Linked DNA regions of Saccharomyces cerevisiae S288C. The gene in region 4 interacts genetically with the main gene of each other region. Each region holds a gene or a part of one and is shown on either strand. Other genes may lie near its edges. The genes, in order: SDH9, SUB1, RPL22A and HYP2.

Evidence for each region.
Region 1: mutations in HYP2 (region 4) and SDH9 together harm fitness more than expected from each alone (negative genetic interaction), as found in Saccharomyces cerevisiae (2 studies listed by BioGRID).
Region 2: mutations in HYP2 (region 4) and SUB1 together harm fitness more than expected from each alone (negative genetic interaction), as found in Saccharomyces cerevisiae (one large-scale study listed by BioGRID).
Region 3: mutations in HYP2 (region 4) and RPL22A together harm fitness more than expected from each alone (negative genetic interaction), as found in Saccharomyces cerevisiae (2 studies listed by BioGRID).

The regions. Positions count from the first base shown.
Region 1 is NC_001142.9:352,972-359,543, forward strand, and holds SDH9 (succinate dehydrogenase SDH9), read left to right. Parts: upstream 1-3,052; coding exon 3,053-4,957; downstream 4,958-6,572. Other genes in the region: AIM22 (putative lipoate--protein ligase), read left to right, coding at 1-644; GTPase-activating protein GYP6, read right to left, coding at 5,329-6,572. UniProt on the Saccharomyces cerevisiae protein: Probable minor catalytic subunit of succinate dehydrogenase (SDH) that is involved in complex II of the mitochondrial electron transport chain and is responsible for transferring electrons from succinate to ubiquinone (coenzyme Q).
Region 2 is NC_001145.3:346,220-351,970, reverse strand, and holds SUB1 (chromatin-binding transcription coactivator SUB1), read left to right. Parts: upstream 1-2,448; coding exon 2,449-3,327; downstream 3,328-5,751. Other genes in the region: D-arabinose 1-dehydrogenase (NAD(P)(+)) ARA2, read left to right, coding at 1-1,005; YET2 (Yet2p), read right to left, coding at 1,108-1,590; copper chaperone CCS1, read left to right, coding at 3,711-4,460; stress-responsive transcriptional activator MSN2, read left to right, coding at 5,454-5,751. UniProt on the Saccharomyces cerevisiae protein: Plays a role in the release of TFIIB from the transcription complex during transcription initiation. Binds to TFIIB and specifically inhibits the formation of the TBP-TFIIB-promoter complexes.
Region 3 is NC_001144.5:260,340-265,751, forward strand, and holds RPL22A (60S ribosomal protein eL22 RPL22A), read left to right. Parts: upstream 1-2,854; coding exon 2,855-2,866; intron 2,867-3,255; coding exon 3,256-3,609; downstream 3,610-5,412. Other genes in the region: REX2 (Rex2p), read right to left, coding at 1-208; FRS1 (phenylalanine--tRNA ligase subunit beta), read left to right, coding at 640-2,427; BMT6 (25S rRNA (uracil2843-N3)-methyltransferase), read left to right, coding at 3,818-4,915; PER33 (Per33p), read left to right, coding at 5,117-5,412.
Region 4 is NC_001137.3:83,000-88,383, reverse strand, and holds HYP2 (translation elongation factor eIF-5A), read right to left. Parts: upstream 2,709-5,384; coding exon 2,235-2,708; downstream 1-2,234. Other genes in the region: MCM DNA helicase complex subunit MCM3, read right to left, coding at 1-1,447; MTC7 (Mtc7p), read right to left, coding at 1,786-2,205; UTR5 (Utr5p), read left to right, coding at 2,839-3,339; ANP1 (Anp1p), read left to right, coding at 3,832-5,334. UniProt on the Saccharomyces cerevisiae protein: Translation factor that promotes translation elongation and termination, particularly upon ribosome stalling at specific amino acid sequence contexts.

The DNA.
Region 1 (6,572 bases), on a different chromosome or scaffold from region 4:
TGCATGATTTGGGCAATGTTAATTATTCATATTTAACATCAAGGGAGAAATTCGAAACAAAGTTTTTCAACAAAATGATAATTAAGTGGTTAAATTCATTGAATCCCGAACTAAGACTAGATTTGAATGAGAGAGGAGATATTATTCAGGACGGGTTTAAAATTAGTGGCAGTGCTTATAAAATTGCCGGTGGCAAAGCATACCATCATGCAACGATGTTGCTTAATGCGGATTTAGAACAGTTTAGCGGCTTATTAGAACCCTCACTACCGAACAATATGGAATGGGAGTCAAGTGGAGTTCATAGTGTAAAATCAAAAATCAAAAATGTTGGTATAATTACTCCTAATCAGTTCATTGCAGTGGTATCCGAGCGTTTTCAGAAAACATTCAAAGTTGACGGCGAAATACCTATATATTACTGTGACGAGTTTAAATCTATAAACGATGAGATTAAAGATGCTATGAACACCTTACAGAGCGAACAATGGAAATATTTCTCGGGGCCTAAATTTTCAGTGAAGATTAAAGATAAAGGCTTAACAATTAAAGTCGAAAAGGGCATGATTTATGATTGTGATAGAAATGATTTAATCGGCTTGGAATTCAAAGGATTTTTGGAGAATATTGACAGTTACACATAACGTTGATGAATATTTCAATTCACTTGTAAATAACGTAGGTAAATATCAAAATTAAAGTCTTTCACCGGAAACTGATTCAGCATATTTCAGCAGACGCGTCCTAGATTCACAGCAAACTTCAATATAAGCGATACATTAGGAGTGTTCGTACTTTAGATCTATAAGAACTATATTTTGTTACGATTCAGCCGTCTCTAAATGTGAACTAAATATTTATACTGTTATTTGAGAAACCGACAGATAGTACTTAATTTTATCGATCATCTAAGAATAGCATCGGTATTGTGGTGACATTTATTGAATTTCTTCCGCTCCAGAATAAAGTTCCTTTTCACTTCAAAAAACTGCCACCAGTAAAGTTGCACCAGTGGTTTTTGAGCATTTTTTGTCAATGTCGCTTAACCGTTCTTGAACTGTATCCTCTTGACGTCGATAAAATCATTTGTAAAAACCAGGCCAAATCATCATTGAATAATTTACACTGTGTCTTCAATGTCGCCATTTGGACCAATAATTATCAAACTGTTCACAATTCACTCAAAGTCCTTTCAGCAACATTCTTATGAAACAATACTTTCTTTGAATTTGTATGATGAAACAAAATTTTTTGGTTATTAATCATTTATCACTCTCGGTAGCCAAGTTGGTTTAAGGCGCAAGACTGTAATTTACCACTACGAAATCTTGAGATCGGGCGTTCGACTCGCCCCCGGGAGATTTTTTTAATGTGCTCTAAATAGAATGTGGATGAAATTTCTCTTGGCCGCCGTACCCTTCTTCATAATTAATAATTTCTTTCCATTTTGCAGGATTATATCTGATCAATAAGTGATTGTAAAGATTTTGTTTGTGAGAAATATGTGAATTTTTAATTTTGGTTATAACTTAATAATTGTTGGAATTCCATTTTTGATAAAGATGAAAATTGGTGAATTTTGAGATAATTGTTGGGATTCCATTGTTGATAAAGGCTATAATATTAGGTATACAGAATATACTAGAAGTTCTCCTCGAGGATCTAGGAATCCTCATAATGGAACCTATATTTCTATATACTAATATTCCGTTTTATTCCTTATTCCGTTTTATATGTTTCATTATCCTATTACATTATCAATCCTTGCACTTCAGCTTCCTCTAACTTCGATGACAGCTTCTCATAACTTATGCCATCATCTTAGCACCATATATGATAATATATTGGTAGTATGACTACTAGTTGATAGACTGAAGAGAATGTGGATTTTGATGTAATTGTTGGGATTCCATTTTTAATAAGGCAATAATATTAGGTATGTAGATATACTAGAAGTTCTCCTCGAGGATTTAGGAATCCATAAAAGGGAATCTGCAATTCTATACAATTCTATAAATATTATTATCATCATTTTATATGTTAATATTCATTGATCCTATTACATTATCAATCCTTGCGTTTCAGCTTCCACTAATTTAGATGACTATTTCTCATCATTTGCGTCATCTTCTAACACCGTATATGATAATATACTAGCAACGTAAATACTAGTTAGTAGATGATAGTTGATTTTTATTCCAACATAGACGATAGTTGATTTTTATTCCAACAGTGTTGACATATAAATACTAGTCAACTAAATGGTAATTGGTTATTATTCCTCAACATTCTGCTACCAAACGCAAATGTAGTAGGAGAGTTTAGATTTTCAACGTTGGTTTGCGAGATTGGTGAAATCAAAGCATAGTTTACCTTTAATCCCAATCTTCCAACAAACAGTAGCTCGCGTGGCGTAATGGCAACGCGTCTGACTTCTAATCAGAAGATTATGGGTTCGACCCCCATCGTGAGTGCTTTGTTTCTTCCGTGATAGTTTAATGGTCAGAATGGGCGCTTGTCGCGTGCCAGATCGGGGTTCAATTCCCCGTCGCGGAGATTTTTTTTGAAGCTGTTGTAGTTACTACTTTAAGATCCAGATTGATACAGTACGTATGTGAGGCAACAGATACTTGCAATATAACAAGTTTTGTGAAGAGATAGTGTGAATACCTATGGTTCCACGCAAGAAATCATCTATTTGAATTTTCGGCTTCTATAAGAATGACAAAACTCATAGGAAGCTGCAATGCATTAATTTTCCGTAAGCTTTATTAACCCGTTAGCCGCTCAAGTCGCTTTTCTCAGGTCGCGCTCCTCTTCTCCGGACTTATGTGGCTCCCTTTAGAATATAAGGGTCTTCCCTTTAACGGAACAGTAAGGTTCCACAAGGTGGCAAAAAAGGCAATCCAACCGACACTTCGGCAAATTTCTTTCACTCTAGTCAGAGCTAAGTTCTTATATATACTTTCTAAATAATTATCTGCTAAAATAAGAAAAGAAGGAGCCTAAATACGTATATCTATATACATGTATACACGTGAGCTAATAAATTATGTTATCTTTGAAAAAAGGAATAACAAAATCATACATCTTGCAAAGAACTTTCACTTCTTCCTCTGTTGTTCGTCAAATTGGGGAAGTGAAATCTGAATCGAAACCGCCGGCCAAATATCATATTATCGACCATGAATATGATTGTGTGGTGGTAGGCGCTGGCGGTGCAGGTTTAAGAGCAGCTTTCGGTTTGGCTGAAGCTGGATACAAGACTGCTTGTTTATCCAAGTTGTTTCCAACAAGGTCACATACTGTGGCTGCTCAGGGTGGAATTAATGCTGCGCTGGGAAATATGCATCCAGATGATTGGAAATCGCACATGTACGACACTGTCAAGGGTTCTGACTGGCTCGGAGACCAAGATGCAATCCATTACATGACAAGAGAAGCACCTAAGTCTGTCATTGAACTAGAACATTACGGTATGCCCTTTTCGAGGACTGAAGATGGAAGGATTTACCAGAGAGCATTTGGGGGACAATCCAAAGATTTTGGTAAAGGTGGACAGGCCTATAGGACTTGTGCGGTGGCAGATAGAACAGGTCACGCAATGCTTCATACATTGTATGGACAAGCGCTGAAAAATAATACACACTTCTTTATTGAATACTTTGCAATGGATTTGTTGACCCATAATGGCGAGGTTGTGGGTGTCATTGCCTATAATCAGGAGGACGGTACAATTCACAGATTCAGAGCACATAAGACCGTCATCGCGACAGGCGGATACGGTAGAGCTTACTTCTCTTGCACTTCTGCTCACACTTGTACAGGTGACGGTAATGCTATGGTTTCTCGCGCTGGATTTCCACTAGAGGATTTAGAATTTGTTCAATTTCATCCGTCAGGAATTTATGGGTCTGGCTGCCTAATCACTGAAGGTGCCCGTGGTGAGGGTGGATTTTTATTGAATTCTGAAGGAGAAAGGTTTATGGAACGCTATGCTCCTACTGCCAAGGACTTGGCAAGCAGGGATGTTGTTTCCAGAGCAATCACCATGGAAATCAGGGCTGGCAGAGGTGTCGGGAAAAACAAGGATCATATCCTTTTACAATTAAGCCATCTACCACCTGAGGTACTAAAGGAAAGGCTACCGGGAATATCTGAAACAGCTGCTGTCTTTGCGGGTGTCGATGTCACCCAGGAGCCAATTCCTGTCTTGCCAACTGTCCATTATAATATGGGAGGCATTCCCACAAAATGGACTGGTGAAGCATTGACCATTGACGAGGAAACTGGAGAGGATAAGGTCATCCCAGGATTGATGGCGTGTGGTGAAGCTGCTTGCGTATCGGTTCATGGAGCGAACAGATTAGGCGCTAACTCACTACTGGATTTAGTCGTTTTCGGTCGCGCCGTTGCAAATACCATTGCTGACACATTACAGCCTGGCTTGCCTCATAAGCCATTGGCTTCAAACATCGGGCACGAGTCAATTGCTAATTTGGATAAAGTAAGAAATGCTCGCGGCTCACTGAAAACCTCTCAAATCAGGTTGAACATGCAAAGGACAATGCAAAAAGATGTTTCTGTTTTCAGGACGCAAGACACTCTAGATGAAGGTGTTAGAAATATTACTGAAGTGGACAAGACATTTGAGGATGTGCACGTTTCTGATAAGTCAATGATCTGGAATTCTGATCTCGTAGAAACTCTGGAATTGCAAAATTTACTTACTTGTGCCACACAAACGGCTGTTTCTGCTTCCAAAAGAAAGGAGTCTCGTGGTGCTCATGCGAGAGAGGACTATGCAAAAAGAGATGATGTGAATTGGAGAAAGCACACATTATCATGGCAAAAGGGGACATCAACACCTGTAAAAATCAAGTACAGGAATGTAATCGCACATACTTTAGATGAGAATGAATGCGCCCCAGTCCCTCCAGCTGTCAGATCCTATTAATTCTTATTTATTTATTTATTTATTTTGGAGGGCAAACTTATTTATTGATCTGGCAAAAATGATCTTTCCCTTTTTTCTTATTTTTCTCTCTATCTCTCTCATTGATTCTTGGTCAATAGTACTCGTTTACTGTCAACTTACACCTTATCTATTATGCTATATAATTTTATGCAAGACATTGAAGTACAATATACGTCGAGCTGCAATATGCAAAAATATCAGAGGGAAACCAGCTCATTAGGAAATATGACATGTGGGCTATCTGTTTGTTGGTGGTAGCTGGGTTTTTTTTTTTTTTTTTTTGATTTTGTCGTGCGGGTGTGCAGGCTGGGATTTCAAACAAATAACAACGAGTAATTGACAAGAAAAACTTATTGGCTTATTTTCTTTTTGTTCTTCAAAATTGTTTGCCTTACCCTCTCCCTCAGTTTGTTTTCGAGTGATTGTCTATTAGGATCAATAGTCAACTTTGCTGTTTCCATACTTAAAACATCACTAGTCTTTATGCCGAACTTCGCATTTATAAAAGTGTCGCAAATCAATCTCATATCGTCGTAATTTTTTCCATACCACAATTCACATAAATTTCCAGTGACCTTACACAGGTCTAAAAACTTTTCATCATCTTTACTGGCATCTTCCTTTTCAAAAATTTTCTTGAAATGCAAAATCAATTCAACAAATTCATCGTTATTATTCGTATGTTCATAGTCACCTTGGCTCACTAGTTCGTGAAGCTCATCGTAAATGGATAACAAAAGGGTGATGATAGTGCATGCAATGAAAATATCCAAGGGATAATTGAACGTCAGGACGTGGTCCCAAACGATTAGCACATATTTTAAGGGTAATTCTCTTAAAAATAACAACCTTGTCCATCGGATGAGCCAGATTAGGTTGGAGTGAATCAGATGGTCTACGTTTTTTTTCTTCCCGCTGCCCGTTTTTGGTGGTTGGTAAAAAACCTTTGAAAACAAGTCTGGCAAACAAATCCTAAAGATTTTCGTGAATACTCTCTTATCCCAGTTAATCAAATTTTCTTCGTTATAAAAAATCGGTTCGATTTGGTTCATTAGCTTGTTAAAGATAATCAGAACGTTTTGCAAATCGGTATTATCGAGATCTGTACCGTGATATAATTGCAGATAAATGACGCTTAATATTTCGTGGAACCCTTGTTTATACTGTAGGTGTTCGCTTTGATGTATAAGCAGGTAATTGTACAAAAGTTGTCTCATTTGAGCATGAACCTTGGGTTCCTGAAATATATCGTCAAGCATTATCCTTGAGAGGTCCAAATCTATAATTTCCAGAGTTTCCCTCAGTGTCAACGGCTTTTCATCACTTCCCTTGGACAAAGAACCTTTAGTTTTGTCATTGTCATCAGACAAGGGATGTTTTTCAACAGCCTCGACGGGAGTCAGCCTCCTGATTCCCACTGAGGAGGAAACGTTCGAGTGCAAGACCCTTTTAGGTACATTTGCATTATGATTTTCGTCATAGTTGTCGCCATCTGCCAGCATAGGCACTGGCACCAAGCCGAACTGGTTAAGGTCCAAACCTTTAAAGTTATCAGTTAACAAGCAGTTGTTGTTTTCATCACACAGAAGCAAAG
Region 2 (5,751 bases), on a different chromosome or scaffold from region 4:
GTTAATGAAAAAGTGAATCCATTCGACTTAGCTTCGGTTTCTCCTTTAGTCTTAGGAGGTGCAATACTGAACCAGCAATATACAGATGAGCCAGAATCCATTCCACTGGAAGACATAATCAAATACGCATTTTCGCATGGTATCAATGCAATTGACACTTCTCCCTACTATGGCCCTAGTGAGGTTCTTTATGGTAGGGCACTGTCCAATTTAAGGAATGAATTTCCCAGAGACACTTATTTTATATGCACAAAGGTTGGGCGTATTGGTGCGGAAGAGTTTAACTATTCTAGAGATTTCGTGAGATTTAGTGTTCACAGATCGTGCGAAAGATTACACACTACATATCTCGATTTGGTGTACTTGCACGATGTCGAGTTTGTCAAATTTCCAGACATCTTAGAGGCATTAAAGGAATTGAGGACCTTGAAGAACAAAGGAGTTATCAAAAATTTTGGCATATCAGGCTACCCAATCGACTTTATCACCTGGCTTGCTGAGTACTGCTCTACCGAGGAAAGTGATATTGGGTCATTGGATGCAGTATTGTCCTATTGTAACTTGAACTTACAAAACAATAAGCTATTGAACTTTCGAGAAAGACTGCTACGCAATGCTAAACTGAAAATGGTTTGCAACGCATCAATCTTGAGCATGTCGCTACTAAGGTCACAGGAGACAAGACAGTTTCACCCGTGTTCTCATGAATTGAGAGAATGCGCATCTCAGGCTGCCAAATACTGTCAAGAACAAAATGTCGACTTAGCCGATTTGGCCACAAGATACGCGATTTCGGAATGGGTAGGAAAGGGACCCGTTGTTCTTGGAGTCAGTAGCATGGAAGAATTGAAACTTGCTCTGGATAATTACGAAATTGTGAAATCGAATGGCAACAGATTATCTTCTAAGGACGGACAACTAGTAGAATATATCCAAAAGAATATTTTTAAAGAACATTTTAATGAAGAGTGGTCTTCAGGTATTCCTCATCCAGAAATGATATAATCACCCCAAAAAGAAAAAAAATTTGTCAAATTTTAGTTTATATTCATTTGTTCTATTTACATATGTAAGTTTTTCCTTTTCTTCTTTTTTAGTTTTTTCCTTTTAAAATTTCTTCTTCTGCAATTCCTCTAAATATTTTTGCTTTCGTCTTAACTTTTCCTTCAGAATGTCATCTCCAGCCTTCATTTTGTCATTCCATTCCACTATTCTTCGCAATATACTCATCACGGTGAGTATACATATATAAAAGTAGATGATGAAGCCTGAAATGTAAACATTCCTTTGGTTATATGCCCTTGAAGCCAGTGCATCCACTGGGGTTACACTATTTATTATATAGGGATTTTTCTGGTTGCGGTACGTAGACACTCTGATCTGTGACCTTTTCCATGAATCGATGAACAAAAGACCAACGAAGATCATGATTCCAACCATATAAGTTCTGAATTTCTTATTAGTACTTATGATACTGTAGCGTATATACAGCCACCTTCTCATACGCTGTGGAAGCGGAAGTACCAAAATAAACAGAATGGCCATTTCGATGACCAGTAACGAAAAGAGTACTGCCAAATAAACACCCATCACTAACTCGACTTTGAAATTTTGCTTAGTATTTTTCTATTCACATAATTCATGCTCCAACGAACACTCAGCGTATTTATTTACTTCCAGGCGGCTAGCTTTTCTCAGAGAAGGCCAGCTGTACATATATTGCTCTATCAACCCTTTTTTTTCCCTTGTCTTTTTTCCAAGAAAACCATTTTGCCTAATTGACACAAGCCTACACAACCAAGTTAGCCGTTAAACACAGCAGACGTATCTCGATCTCGTCAATGATATATACGTGTTTTTTGGAAGAATGAGATGGGATAGTAATACACCAAAAATGGGCTGATCATCCGATGTTATTATCAACCATTGGTGGATGGTCAAGACAGCGGCGCTAAATGCCACAGCCTCGATCCGGGTAATACTTATTTTGAGTTTTTTCAGCTGGGACGAATTATCATCACTAACAAGGACAATGAGTATAGCACTGCACACACACACGTTTTATCTTTACGTTATACGTAATTTTTCCCTCCTTTTAATGATGAGAATTTATTAATACATTCATTTGAATGGGAATTTTACTTTTACCTTCCTCAAATTTCTTTATCAAAACTCAAGTTTTCCTCTCTTTTCATCTCCTCTTCCTCTCCTTTCTTTCTTTCTCTCTTTCTTTTTCTCTCTTGGCTTGCCTTCTGCTCTCTATTCTTGATGAAAATTCTTAATTTGATCCAGGGAACGATAGGAAGACAAGAGAAGAGGTTGTAAACGTGAATTTTGTAAAAGTCCCCAATCAAAGAAACACTTTTGGTTGCCCACTTAAGAAAGCTATTTAATATTAAATCTTTCCGTACACATCAATTTTTCGACATATATACAAACACAAGCGCTATGTCATATTACAACAGGTATAGGAACAAAAGAAGAAGCGATAATGGTGGAGGAAACTTAAGTAACAGTAACAATAACAATGGTGGTATGCCATCTGGACTATCCGCATCAGATGCAATTTTTGATCTGGGTAAAAATAAGAGGGTCACGGTAAGACAATTTAGAAACATAAATTTAATTGATATCCGTGAGTACTATCTGGACTCATCTACAGGCGAAATGAAACCTGGGAAGAAAGGTATTTCGTTGACAGAAGATCTATACGACGAATTGCTTAAGCACAGATTGAATATTGATGAAGCCTTGAGAAGGCTAGGATCCAAGAGACCAAAAACCAAAATGGTTAGACTATTGTCCGACGACGAATATGAAGATGATAACAATAATGACAGTACTAATAACGACAAGGATAAAAACGGGAAGGACAAGAACAGCCCAAAGAAGAGGAGAGAAGATAAGTCCAAAGCATCTAATGAGAGTCATGACTTGGAGCCACGTTCAAAGAAGAAGAAACCTGCTCCACCTACTCTACTTCCACACGAGGAAAACATTCAAAACGCTGAAAGAGAAGCCAATGCTACTTTGATCATCCCAGGCCAGGCAGGTAGGAAACAACAAGAGGAACGCAAGCAAAAGGAAAAAGAAGAGGCAGAGGAGGCAAAGGCAAAAGCAGTTGCAGAACAAGAGAAAGAGGCAAAGGCAAAAGAAAAGATAGCTGAACCTGAACCTGAACCTGTACCCACACTTCAAGCTAAAAAAGAAGATATTGTCTCCAACATAAACGAGTCAAAAGATGCAAATTCTAGTGACGAAGAATTTGCTCAAAGCTTGGAAGCTGAAATGAACAAGGCTGAAGACGACATAAGTGAAGAAGAATAATAGTCCTGGAAGTTGAGCTTGCTTATGTCAACGTCTTCCATCCAACGAGCTTATTAGAGAATAAAAAAAAAAAAAAAGAAATAAAAATATATACTTTTCTGTTTGTCAAATTCATTTTAACAATTCATATAATCAAATATGTGATTTATAATAACCAGACAAAAGTTAATCTTGTACATTTCAGTATAATATACTATCAAAAAAAAATTTGCGCTTACTAAGCATTTTCCCCGTACAACTAGTACACAGTGAGAATGGAAGAGGGTAAAAATTCATTGTTCGGAAAAATAATATATTAAAGGCAAGCCAAAAAAAAAAAATTTAGACTAAGAAAAGAATAAAGATATCTTTGCAAGGCAGAAACCCATTCGATCAGCACAAAAATGACCACGAACGATACATACGAGGCTACTTATGCCATTCCCATGCACTGTGAAAATTGCGTGAATGATATAAAGGCATGCCTAAAAAATGTCCCAGGAATCAATTCATTGAATTTCGATATAGAGCAACAAATAATGAGCGTGGAAAGCTCAGTAGCCCCTTCAACCATCATCAACACCTTGCGAAACTGTGGTAAAGACGCCATCATAAGAGGCGCCGGGAAGCCGAATTCTTCCGCGGTCGCTATCTTAGAGACCTTTCAAAAATATACTATAGACCAGAAAAAGGACACCGCCGTGAGGGGCCTAGCAAGAATCGTTCAGGTTGGAGAGAATAAGACTCTTTTTGACATCACTGTAAATGGCGTCCCAGAGGCGGGAAATTACCACGCCAGCATTCACGAGAAAGGCGACGTCTCCAAGGGCGTGGAATCTACTGGTAAAGTTTGGCACAAGTTCGACGAACCCATTGAATGCTTCAACGAGAGTGATTTGGGCAAGAACTTGTACAGTGGGAAGACCTTTCTGAGCGCTCCCTTGCCAACATGGCAACTTATCGGCCGCAGCTTTGTCATTTCCAAGTCTCTGAACCACCCAGAAAACGAGCCTTCCTCCGTTAAGGACTACTCATTTCTGGGAGTCATTGCGAGAAGCGCTGGTGTGTGGGAAAATAATAAACAAGTGTGTGCGTGTACCGGAAAGACTGTTTGGGAAGAGAGAAAAGATGCCTTGGCCAACAACATCAAATAGAACATCCAAGATAGCACAACGTAGCGTAATACAGATATAACATAATATAGTATACTACATCATAACCACGTGATGCCGGACATGTACATACGCATGTGGCAATATGCCAAAGCCGGTTTCCAATCCTACTTCATATTGCCTTGTCCCTCCGGTTTCGCCGGCAACAACGGCCCGGAACGTACCTAAAGAGGTATTTCGCTCTTGGTATCCGTACCTCACTTATCTCCAGCACCTATCGTTCCTGGCCAGACGGCCGGAGTTGATCTTTCGTCTTTCTCCGGAAACCACGGCGTTCAGCTACGCATTCCGTAGCAGCCAAGCCGGTTCTTGACACCATCTGTCTACGTCATACATATCGGCTCTTTTTGTCTCTAATAAATTAAAGAGAGCCATTTATACGAAAAAAACACCTTTTTACGAATTTCAGAAAATCAGAATGGGAAAAACAAACTGCGGAAAAGAAAAACAAGACACCGAAAATATATACAATTTCCCCTCTACAGACAACATATAGTATTGACACTTACTTATTTATATTTGTTGTTTCCAGCGAAAGAGACAGGTAATAAAGACAAATAGCAGAACAAAGTGGTGTTTGTTGCCTGATATCAGCACCAGTCAGACTTGGCCCTTTTACTTTTATCGCGTAAACCGTGTTCCCTTTTTTTGCCTTCCTGTTTGGTAATAGTAAGAAAGCAGCACGAGCTCAACAAGACTTCCCAGTTAGAAACTGTGTTACACGAAAATAAAACAGACGGAAACCTTGGAGATAACAGAAACTAGTCTGTAATACGAAAAGTTCAAAAAAAAAAAGATATTGCTTTTTTCTTCCTTACTTTATCGGTATCTTCCTCATATTTTTCGGGAAGATCACAACAGTAGTAGCAAGGTATTTCATACGCCAAGAGGCTACCTTTTTTTCTTTGGTTTTATTTGCTTTATTTTTTCTTTCTTTTTTCAACTTTTATTGCTCATAGAAGAACTAGATCTAAAATGACGGTCGACCATGATTTCAATAGCGAAGATATTTTATTCCCCATAGAAAGCATGAGTAGTATACAATACGTGGAGAATAATAACCCAAATAATATTAACAACGATGTTATCCCGTATTCTCTAGATATCAAAAACACTGTCTTAGATAGTGCGGATCTCAATGACATTCAAAATCAAGAAACTTCACTGAATTTGGGGCTTCCTCCACTATCTTTCGACTCTCCACTGCCCGTAACGGAAACGATACCATCCACTACCGATAACAGCTTGCATTTGAAAGCTGATAGCAACAAAA
Region 3 (5,412 bases), on a different chromosome or scaffold from region 4:
CATTCACGTGGTCTAAACCGGTCATCTCGCAGTCGATCCAGACCAAGGGTTTGAACAGCTTGGTTTTAAGTTCGGGTGTTTGCGCCATTGATTGCAGGTTTTGGATGGTTCGAGGACGTAAGTACTGTGAAACGGATCTTCTGTACAGCGAGAAGAGGTTTGGGCGAGTGCGAGCTACGATTCTTGCCGGAAACAACAACCACTTCATCTTGATCTCTTCTGTTTATTTGTGAAAGCTCCTTTTCTTTTTTTTCATTTTCTTTGCAAATCGAAAAGTTCACACTGATTTTTTATTAGTTCTTTTAAGTGCCCAACTTGACAGGAAAAAGAAACACCCCAAAGGGAATACCAGTGTATGTAAGGCTTGAATTATACGTATGAGCATGCGTTTGATGGTTGTCGTCAGAGCCAGTGCTCTGAGAGTGTCCCAGATGACTACAACCCTTGTATAAAAGTACATCTTCTTGATTATTTATCACGACACACGAGGTGACCGATTATTCAGAATCGGTACCAAAAAAGAAAGAAAATTGAAGGAAATGAAAAATTTTCAATGTATTTCTCGAAAGCCTGGAGTTGATCAAATGTTCAAAAAATAGGGCAGAATAGCATAACACACATCAATAACACCGAGCCAGCATGCCTACCGTCTCCGTGAACAAGCAGCAATTATTTGATCTTCTAGGCAAAAACTACACTTCCCAAGAGTTCGATGAATTATGTTTTGAATTCGGTATGGAAATGGACGAAGACACCACAGAGGAGGCCTTGAAAACCGGGGAGGAGCCGGAATTGAAGCTTGATATCAGTGCCAATCGTTACGATTTGCTTTGTATCGAAGGTATTTCACAGTCGCTGAACGAATACTTGGAACGTAAAGAAAGACCTGACTATAAATTAAGCAAGCCAACCACTAAGTTGATCATCGACAAATCAACGGAGCAAATTAGACCTTTTGCTACCGCTGCTGTATTGAGAAATATCAAGCTTAACGAAAAATCTTACGCTTCTTTTATTGCCTTGCAAGATAAATTACATGCCAATCTATGTAGAAACAGAAGCTTGGTTGCCATGGGTACTCACGATTTAGATTCAATTGAAGGTCCATTCCATTACAGAGCTCTACCACCAAAGGACATCAAGTTCGTACCATTGAATCAAACCCAAGAGTTTACTGGTGACAAATTGATCGAGTTTTATAAATCTCCAGAACAGAAAAACAACATAGGGAGATACGTTCACATTATTGAGGATTCTCCAGTCTTCCCAGTTATTATGGACAGCAAAGATCGTGTTTGCTCCCTGCCACCATTAATCAATAGTGAACATTCGAAGATCTCTGTGAACACCCGTAACATTTTGATTGATATAACCGCCACCGATAAGACCAAAGCCGAGATCGTTTTGAACATATTAACTACAATGTTCTCACGTTATTGTGACGAACCATTCACGGTTGAGCCTGTAGAAATTGTCTCTGAACACAATGGCCAATCCCGTTTGGCGCCAAACTTCAACGATAGAATTATGGATGTCTCCATTAAGTACATCAACTCCTGTCTTGGCCTAGATCAATCCGCTGATGAAATTGCTCATTGTCTAAAGAAGATGTCGTTGCATGCCGTTCAATCAAAGGAAGACAAGGACATCTTGCACGTTGACATTCCGGTAACTAGACCTGATATTTTGCACGCTTGTGATATAATGGAAGATGCCGCTGTCGGTTATGGTTTCAATAATTTGCCAAAGGGTGAGAAATTATCCAATGCCAACTTCATTGCCAAACCATTACCAATCAACAAGGTTTCTGATATTTTCAGAGTTGCATCCTCTCAAGCCACGTGGGTTGAGGTTTTACCATTGACCTTATGTTCGCACGATGAAAACTTTAAATTTCTAAGACAATCCGACAATGGTGATTTAGCTGTCAAATTGGCCAACCCAAAGACTTTGGAATACCAAGTTGTTAGAACCACTTTATTGCCTGGTATCTTAAAGACAGTCAAGGAAAACAGAAAACATTCCTTGCCAATCAAAGTCTTTGAAACCGGTGACGTTGTATTTAAAGACGACAAACTAGAAAGGAAGGCGTACAATGAACGTCACTGGGCTGCCATCTACGTGGGTAAGAATTCTGGGTTTGAAATCATTCAAGGGTTATTGGGTAAAATCATGCAAACTTTTAGAACAGAGTGGATTGCAGACTACGGTGCTGCTGCTTCTGGCAGAGGTTACTGGATTGAAGAAGACGATTCTGTGAAAACCTACTTCCCAGGTAGAGGTGCCAAGGTCATGTTCAGATCCAAAGAAGGCGCTGAGCCAAAGCAAATCGGCCACTTGGGTGTCTTGCATCCTGAAGTCATGATGAATTTCGACGTTCCATTCGCTGCATCCTTTGTAGAGGTTAATGCCGAAGTCTTCCTATAATGTAATGTTCTAACAAAAATTTTTACTGATTTATAAAACTTATATAGATAGATAGACACATATATATATCTATATATAGAAACACAACTAAAGTTTACCATGTTTTATATAATATTACTACCGCTACTGAGTAAATGTTTAGCTTGTACTTAACTTTCAAAGACAGTTTTTTTGATAAACATCAGTACATTTAATAATACATCCATACATTTATGTTAATTTGTTTTTCCTTTCCACCTCAGTGCGCTTCTCTTTTGAAAAAATCCTCAACAGGCCACGCGAACAAATCTTACCGAGAATTTCCTAAAATGTTTCAAACTATCATTTAGCTGCATACAATATGTACATTATTAATTGAGATTAACAACTTTACCTGTACTTTACCGTTATCAAATTATAAACCACCAAAACAACAGATTAAGAAACAATGGCCCCAAACGTATGATACTTTAAAAGGAATCCACGCCCGATTACGAAGTCTATGTTTTACTGTTATTGTAATGATTGATTGTACGCGAATAACAAGGAAGATAGTAAAACCAAAAAAAAAAAAATAAAAATGTACGAAACGAAGAAGCGTCTATGTGTTTAGTTGCTTTTCTGTATTTTAAAAATTCACTACTTGAACATTGAACTCTATATCGACTCCCTTCTTTTTATCCGTTTCTGAATGTTTTTTTGTTTGAGATTGTCATATGTGATTGTTAATAGCAGTAGGCAACTTTGTGGTTTCGGGATTGAAAGAAAATCGTGAAATATTCGTTTTTTACTAACATTACTGTTCTGAAAATTTTTACTAATTTTCAATCTTTAATTTTTTTGATATAGACTTCCAGAAAGCAAAAGATTGCCAAGACCTTTACCGTCGATGTCTCTTCTCCAACTGAAAACGGTGTCTTCGACCCAGCTTCCTACGCTAAGTACTTGATCGACCACATCAAGGTCGAAGGTGCTGTCGGTAACTTGGGTAACGCTGTCACTGTCACTGAAGATGGTACCGTTGTTACTGTTGTTTCCACTGCCAAGTTCTCTGGTAAGTACTTGAAGTACTTGACAAAGAAGTACTTGAAGAAGAACCAATTGAGAGACTGGATCAGATTTGTCTCTACCAAGACCAACGAATACAGATTGGCCTTCTACCAAGTCACTCCAGAAGAAGACGAAGAAGAAGACGAAGAATAAATTCATTAATATTATTTTAAATAGAGCATAAGTTTTGTATAATTAAAATCTTCTAAACCTAATAAATATGTTTAATGAATGATTCAATATCAAAAAAAGAAATCCATTGGGCCCTTAGTGCATTTTTATTTTTTTTTTTTTTTTTTTTTTTTTTCTCTTTCTGAATTAGAGTACATCTCATCGCAGGGTCTCTTTTTGCACGTTTTTGATGTTGCTTATGAGACGCTTTGCCTTTTTAACTTCTTCAGTATATTTTAAATATATACCAATTTATTCACAATATCATTACTCTTCTCAGTTTCCAATTAACATGAATCCTAAAAAAGTGGCCCAATTGCCCGTTCACAATAAATCAACGCTTCCACCACAGGAAATAATCGATCTTTTTAAAATAACATTCTTAGAAGAGCTATATCCAAAAGATCAAGACAATGAAAAGTCACCGTTAACTGAACAAATACAGGCGGTAAAATCTGACCTTTATAACAGAGATTACAATGCTGCTTTCAATAACGACTCGAAAAGAATAGCATATTGTTGTCGTTGGTCACCGTCCAGAGCAACAAGTTACGCATCAGTATTTGCACATTTCCCTGAGCTTCTAAAGATTATCAGATGCGAAATTGATGACAAGGACTCAAATGTGCTCTGCATAGGTGGCGGCGCTGGTGGTGAGCTGGTTGCATTAGCGAGCATATTCACTTTATCGAGAGATTTTTCGTCTAAATTTGCCTCTGCTTTGAAAATAGACAACGAAGTAAACAAAAAGCCTAGAAATTTAAACATACAACTAGTAGATATCGCCGACTGGTCCACAGTTGTTGAAAAGCTAACAGCTACAATAAAGTCGAAATGGCTATATGGTGATTCAGAAGCAGAGTCATTTAACGTCAACTTTACCCACAAGGACTGCCTACAAATGACAGAGCCACAAGATATCAAGATATATCAAGGCCTCGACCTAATAACTCTACTTTTTACTACAAATGAACTATTTACACAGAAAAAAGTGGAGAGTATAAAATTTCTGCAACGGTTAAACGAGAACTGTGCCCCAGGCTGCCATCTTCTCATACTAGAGAGTGCAGGAAGCTATTCTCACATTACCATCAACAACAAGAAGTTCCCAATCCAATTTCTTATCGATACTATCTTAGTAGGCAATAGAAAGGACAAGGGAACGACAGGTCCATGGTCACTAGTATCCGAGAACGACAGTATTTGGTATAGAATGGACCCAAAACTCGACTACTCGATTCCATTGGAAAACATGCGATTCTTTTACCGTCTTTATGTCAAGAACTAACAGGCTTTATGACGTTTTACTGTTCTCTTTTCATTGTTCTTTTCTCGAAGAGTTTAGAAAAATTTTTTTTCTTCTCATCCACACCGAAAAAATATTAATAAGAGAGTTGAAAATTCGATTTGGAATCAGAAATAAAGAAGGGGCCACGATCAAACAAGACTCATTTCGAATAATTGTAAAAAAAAATTAGCACAAAACAATATGACCGTTCCCAGGAATCGTCCCATGGCACCATTTGGCACCATTATCAAATCAAGAATAAAACAACCCCAGTTTTATTGGTTTATAGGCCATTTTTTAACCATCTTTAACTTTATACAATTTCATCTTTCAATCACGTCCAAACAAAACCAATTGTCATGCTATAGAAGATCATTATTTTACATATCCGTTACATATGCCATCGTTCTTTACCAGTTTTTCAAAAGTGACCAGTTAAAGTTCAATTTTACGCTTTTGCGCCAAGAGATGAAGAAATTGGATAATTTGCAGTATTT
Region 4 (5,384 bases):
TATCCACATCTGTCATCTTATCAAATTCATCAATACATACAACCCCGCGGTCAGCAAGAACCATGGCACCAGCCTCTAGTCTTCTTTCACCTGTTTCCCTATCAGTAGTGACCGCTGCGGTCAAACCGACACCGGAAGAACCTCTACCAGTAGTAGCAATTGCCAGTGATGCTGTATTCAACACAAACCTTAGCAATTGGGACTTGGCAGTGGATGGATCACCCACCATTAGGATATTGATGTCACCTCTTAAATGCGAGCCATTTTCTAAATTTTTCTCCACACCTCCCATGAGCATCAATAAAATGGCTTTCTTTATATGGTCATGTCCATAAATAGAAGGCGCTAAAGATTGAGACAAGATATCGAAAATGTCCTTTTTTTTGGATAGTTTATTGATATTTCTTATATCGAAATCTGTCAACATTTGTCTCGCAGCGACACCCGTGGATCTGGCGTGGAGAGGATACACCGTATTACCTAGGATCAGAGTTTTGAACCCGATCAATGTATTAGAGTTGGACTGGTTCATGCCACCAGCACCAAGCGACTTGAATACCCCGACAACGTTAACTCTGTCACCTGGCTTGGTCTTGTCCACAAGGTCGTCATCGAGAATGACGTCAATGGACCTGGGAAGTTGGCCAGCGGGGGCCATTTCGGGCATTTCTTGCACAGTGATACGCTGATGGTCTATGAACGTACTATACCCATATTCGGTGGTTAGTTTGTTACCTTCAGTGTCCTCCGTTGGATAGATGGCAGGCGTTGGGATGCGGGTGGTGAGAGTTGTAGTAGCATCTGTATAATCTCTGTAATGGAATCTACCAGTCTTTGCCGCGTAGTGGACAGATCTGATAAGCTTTGGCCTGACCAACGAAGTCTTAGTTACGATACCCTCAACAGAGACCAGTTTGTTTAAATGTTGTGCCGTTAGAGTACGAGGAGACAATGCGTGTGCACCAAATGAGCCTTTGAACGAAAGCTTCCAAGGATGGCGAGACGATACTGCAGAGGCATTGGGATGTGGAACATCGTCCATGGAATCTGCTAGGTCAGTAAGCGCCTTTTCGGCAGGCGGGATGAAGTATGCTGGTTCGACTAAAATGCCCGACCAGAACGACCTGTCGAATTCTCTCAAGTCATCAAGCGAGATGATAATCCTGTGAGGGAGTATATTCAATGAGGTGGACGATGCTGCTTTCTTTTCCTTTTCAAGATCATCACCGTCGTCATCACCTAGCAAATCTCGTTCGTCTGCGTCATCTTGATCATCGTTGTAGTTGGCCGCGTTATTGCTGTTGTAAACTTGTATGGACCTTACAGAGTCTCTGTATGAGGTGAAAGTATCTAAAAACTCTTGAAATCTGCGCACTCTGTCACCAAACACAGCGTCTGGAGCGAAAAAAGTAGTAGCGTCTCCATCAAATCCCGTTGAGCCTTCCATAATTGACGTTTGTATCTTTTTGGTGCGCTTATAGTGGAGTTCAATACGAGCAGTAGGATGAAAATGCTTCAAGGAAAAGAGCGTAGGCCTTTTCAACTTGAAAGAAGATTAAGAACCTATCTTTCGAGTTTTGACCAAATTTTTCTTTTTTTTCCTAAAACACGAGTTTTTACCCATTTAGGAAAAGTAATTGTTTCTTCTACCGCCTCGATCTGACGAACAAGGGAAATTGAAAAAAAAGAGAAAAATAACGACAACTGCAGGACTCGAACCTGCGCGGGCAAAGCCCAAAAGATTTCTAATCTTTCGCCTTAACCACTCGGCCAAGTTGCCATAACTCATTGAAAATTCTGTTTCCCACATAGGTCAAAACTAATATTTCCCTTGGCCTGCTCTTCAACCTCCCCCGTTCTGAGAGTTCCCTTTTTTTTTTTTTTTTTTTTTTTTTGAGGGGGAAGCGCCGGATTTGCCACCGACCGGCTGCTTGCAGCCGGTAGATATGCGCACATGAAAATCATCCTCCCCAATGAATTACACTGCCTGCATAAGGAAAAAGAAAAGTGTGAAATACGAATAAAAACAAAGTATATTATTGCTATATAGATGATAAATAACAAAATAAATAGAAAATAAAAAAAAGGATTTATTTGTGTATGCTTTAGGAGAACGAAAAAAAAATTGCAAAGAAAAAAACCCGGTTCAGCGAAGAGTACATGATGTGATGGAAGGGGCGTCGGAGTTTTTTTTTCTTTTTTCATTTATATCCCATGCCATGATGTTAACCGGTTTAATCGGTTCTAGCAGCTTCCTTGAAGGAGATGGCGGCTTCTTCACCCATAGCGGAGATGATGGTAACCATCAAGTCCTTACCTTCATCAAAAGCAGTTTGCAAACTGTCACCCAATTCACCTTCTGGAGCCTTGACATCATCCTTAGTGTCACCGTCCATGTTCATCAAAGACAAGAAACCGTCATCAATGTCCAACAATTGGTATTCGTTTCTCTTGACAACTGGAACTTCCATGTTGTGAGTAGATGGAGACAAATCTTCCAACTTCTTACCAGTGAAGATATCAATGGCAACCAAATGGACTTTAGCGTGACCGTGCTTACCAGTCTTAGAAGTGGACATGTCGACAATCTTACATGGTCTACTCTTGATGACAACGAAACCGTTCTTTCTCAAGGCAGAACATTGCATTGGGTAGGTGGCGGAGGAACCAGCGTCAGCAGTTTCAAAGGTATGTTCTTCGTCAGACATTGTATATATGAGTTGGTATTTGTGTGTGTTTGGGAGTCTATGAGTAATTGGCTACAGAAGTAGAATCGTTAGAAAGAAGGAAAGGAAGCAATTGATAGAAGGAGAGGAATTTAGGAAATGAGGGATTCCAATGTCAAGATATGGCAAAAACCTTGTGCATTATATAATCGTGGAACACGACGATCAACGCGGCCAAAAGCCGATCGACGACGACGACGAAAAAAATTTTTATTACCACTGTTCCTTCACCTTCGAAACTTTTTTTCGGGCGACGGCGTTTCTTTTAGCTCCTGCGGTATGTGCGGTGCGGGAGGTCCCTTGTCGCCTCACACGGACCCGATATAACGCTACGGAATACATCGAGGGGTATGGGTGGATGATATCACTGCAGCAAGGTCTGGGTGTTGCAGAATTTTACCGGCCTTGGCCCCTCAGCGTCCAGCTACAGCGTTATACTACTCCAAGTCGCCGTTCCCGTTTTGCTGTTCTCACCCCTCAGAGAAAATGCCACCAGAACGAAGCCAATGGTCAGGACTTATCGTTACTTATACTGTTGAGCCGGATATATCCGCTGTGCTCTAATACCAGCCAAACGAGAAGGGTAGCGGCAAGAAAGGGTAAACTTTCATGATGAAGTTAGCTAGTTCCTTTTACGATTGCTACTATCTCGTTCAACTTGGCCTGCGCTGTTGATGAAAATAGCAGTGACTGCAGAGAATAGAAATGAACCGGGCTCATCTGGTCTAGTTGCCTTCTTTTTTTTATTTTTTTTCATTTTCCTTTTCTTTTCTTTTCTTTTCTTGTCTCACTATGTTGGTTTAATCAATTCGTAATCCCTTTACCAACGCATTGTGTTCAATTTTCCTCTTGTGTGGGGTCGCCCGCCTTGTCTCATCGTGAAAAAATTGCGTAAGATGAAATCATGAAAACATGAAATAAAAAAAATAAATAAAAATAACTACACGATTCAAAAACGCCAAGATCTGTTAGTAGAGACAGCAAGCATTGCAAAACCATTCATCACTCAGTTGCTAGGCGAGTGTTGGTGCGATTTACCCTCATCATCTTTTTTTCGCTCCATTAAACAGTTCCTTGTGGCTTTCATGCAAAGTGTACGTCCATAATGAAGTATAATAACAGAAAACTCTCGTTCAACCCTACCACAGTAAGTATCGCTGGAACGTTGCTTACGGTGTTCTTTCTCACAAGACTCGTGCTTTCGTTCTTCTCGATATCGCTATTCCAGCTGGTAACTTTCCAAGGAATCTTCAAGCCCTATGTTCCAGATTTTAAAAATACTCCCAGCGTAGAGTTCTACGACCTACGAAATTACCAAGGCAACAAAGATGGTTGGCAACAGGGTGACCGCATCTTGTTTTGCGTGCCACTGAGAGATGCTTCTGAGCATCTTCCCATGTTTTTTAACCATCTGAATACCATGACATATCCGCACAACCTGATTGATCTGTCGTTTTTGGTGAGTGACTCTTCGGATAACACCATGGGCGTGTTACTATCCAATCTACAGATGGCGCAATCGCAACAAGACAAGTCCAAAAGGTTTGGTAACATCGAAATCTATGAGAAGGACTTCGGCCAAATCATTGGTCAGTCCTTTTCTGATCGTCACGGGTTTGGCGCCCAGGGCCCCAGAAGAAAGCTGATGGCCAGGGCTCGTAATTGGCTTGGGTCCGTGGCCCTGAAACCATACCACTCCTGGGTTTACTGGAGAGACGTGGATGTCGAAACCATCCCCACTACCATCATGGAGGATCTAATGCATCACGACAAGGACGTCATTGTCCCCAACGTCTGGAGACCTTTACCAGACTGGCTGGGAAACATTCAACCCTACGATTTAAATTCATGGAAGGAATCAGAAGGGGGTCTTCAATTGGCGGATTCCCTAGACGAAGATGCTGTCATTGTGGAAGGGTACCCAGAGTACGCCACTTGGAGACCTCACCTGGCATACATGAGAGACCCAAACGGTAATCCAGAAGACGAAATGGAATTGGACGGTATTGGAGGGGTCTCGATTCTCGCGAAAGCTAAAGTATTCAGAACAGGCTCACACTTTCCTGCATTCTCCTTTGAAAAGCACGCAGAGACAGAAGCATTCGGTAGGCTCTCCCGCAGGATGAATTACAATGTCATCGGCTTGCCCCATTATGTCATCTGGCACATCTACGAACCTTCCAGCGACGACTTAAAGCACATGGCTTGGATGGCTGAAGAGGAGAAGCGGAAACTAGAAGAAGAGAGAATTCGCGAATTTTACAACAAGATCTGGGAGATTGGATTTGAAGATGTCAGAGACCAATGGAACGAAGAAAGAGATTCAATCTTAAAAAACATTGACTCCACTTTGAACAATAAAGTCACTGTAGACTGGTCTGAAGAGGGAGATGGCTCGGAGCTGGTGGACTCAAAGGGTGACTTTGTCTCACCAAACAACCAACAACAACAACAACAGCAACAACAACAACAACAGCAGCAGCAGCAACAGCAACAGCAACAACAGCTCGACGGCAACCCGCAGGGGAAACCTCTTGATGACAACGACAAGAACAAGAAAAAACATCCTAAAGAAGTTCCATTAGACTTCGACCCTGATAGAAACTAGGCTCGGTTTTTTAGTGACCTACATATGAAGTACGAATTCATATAGTTGTA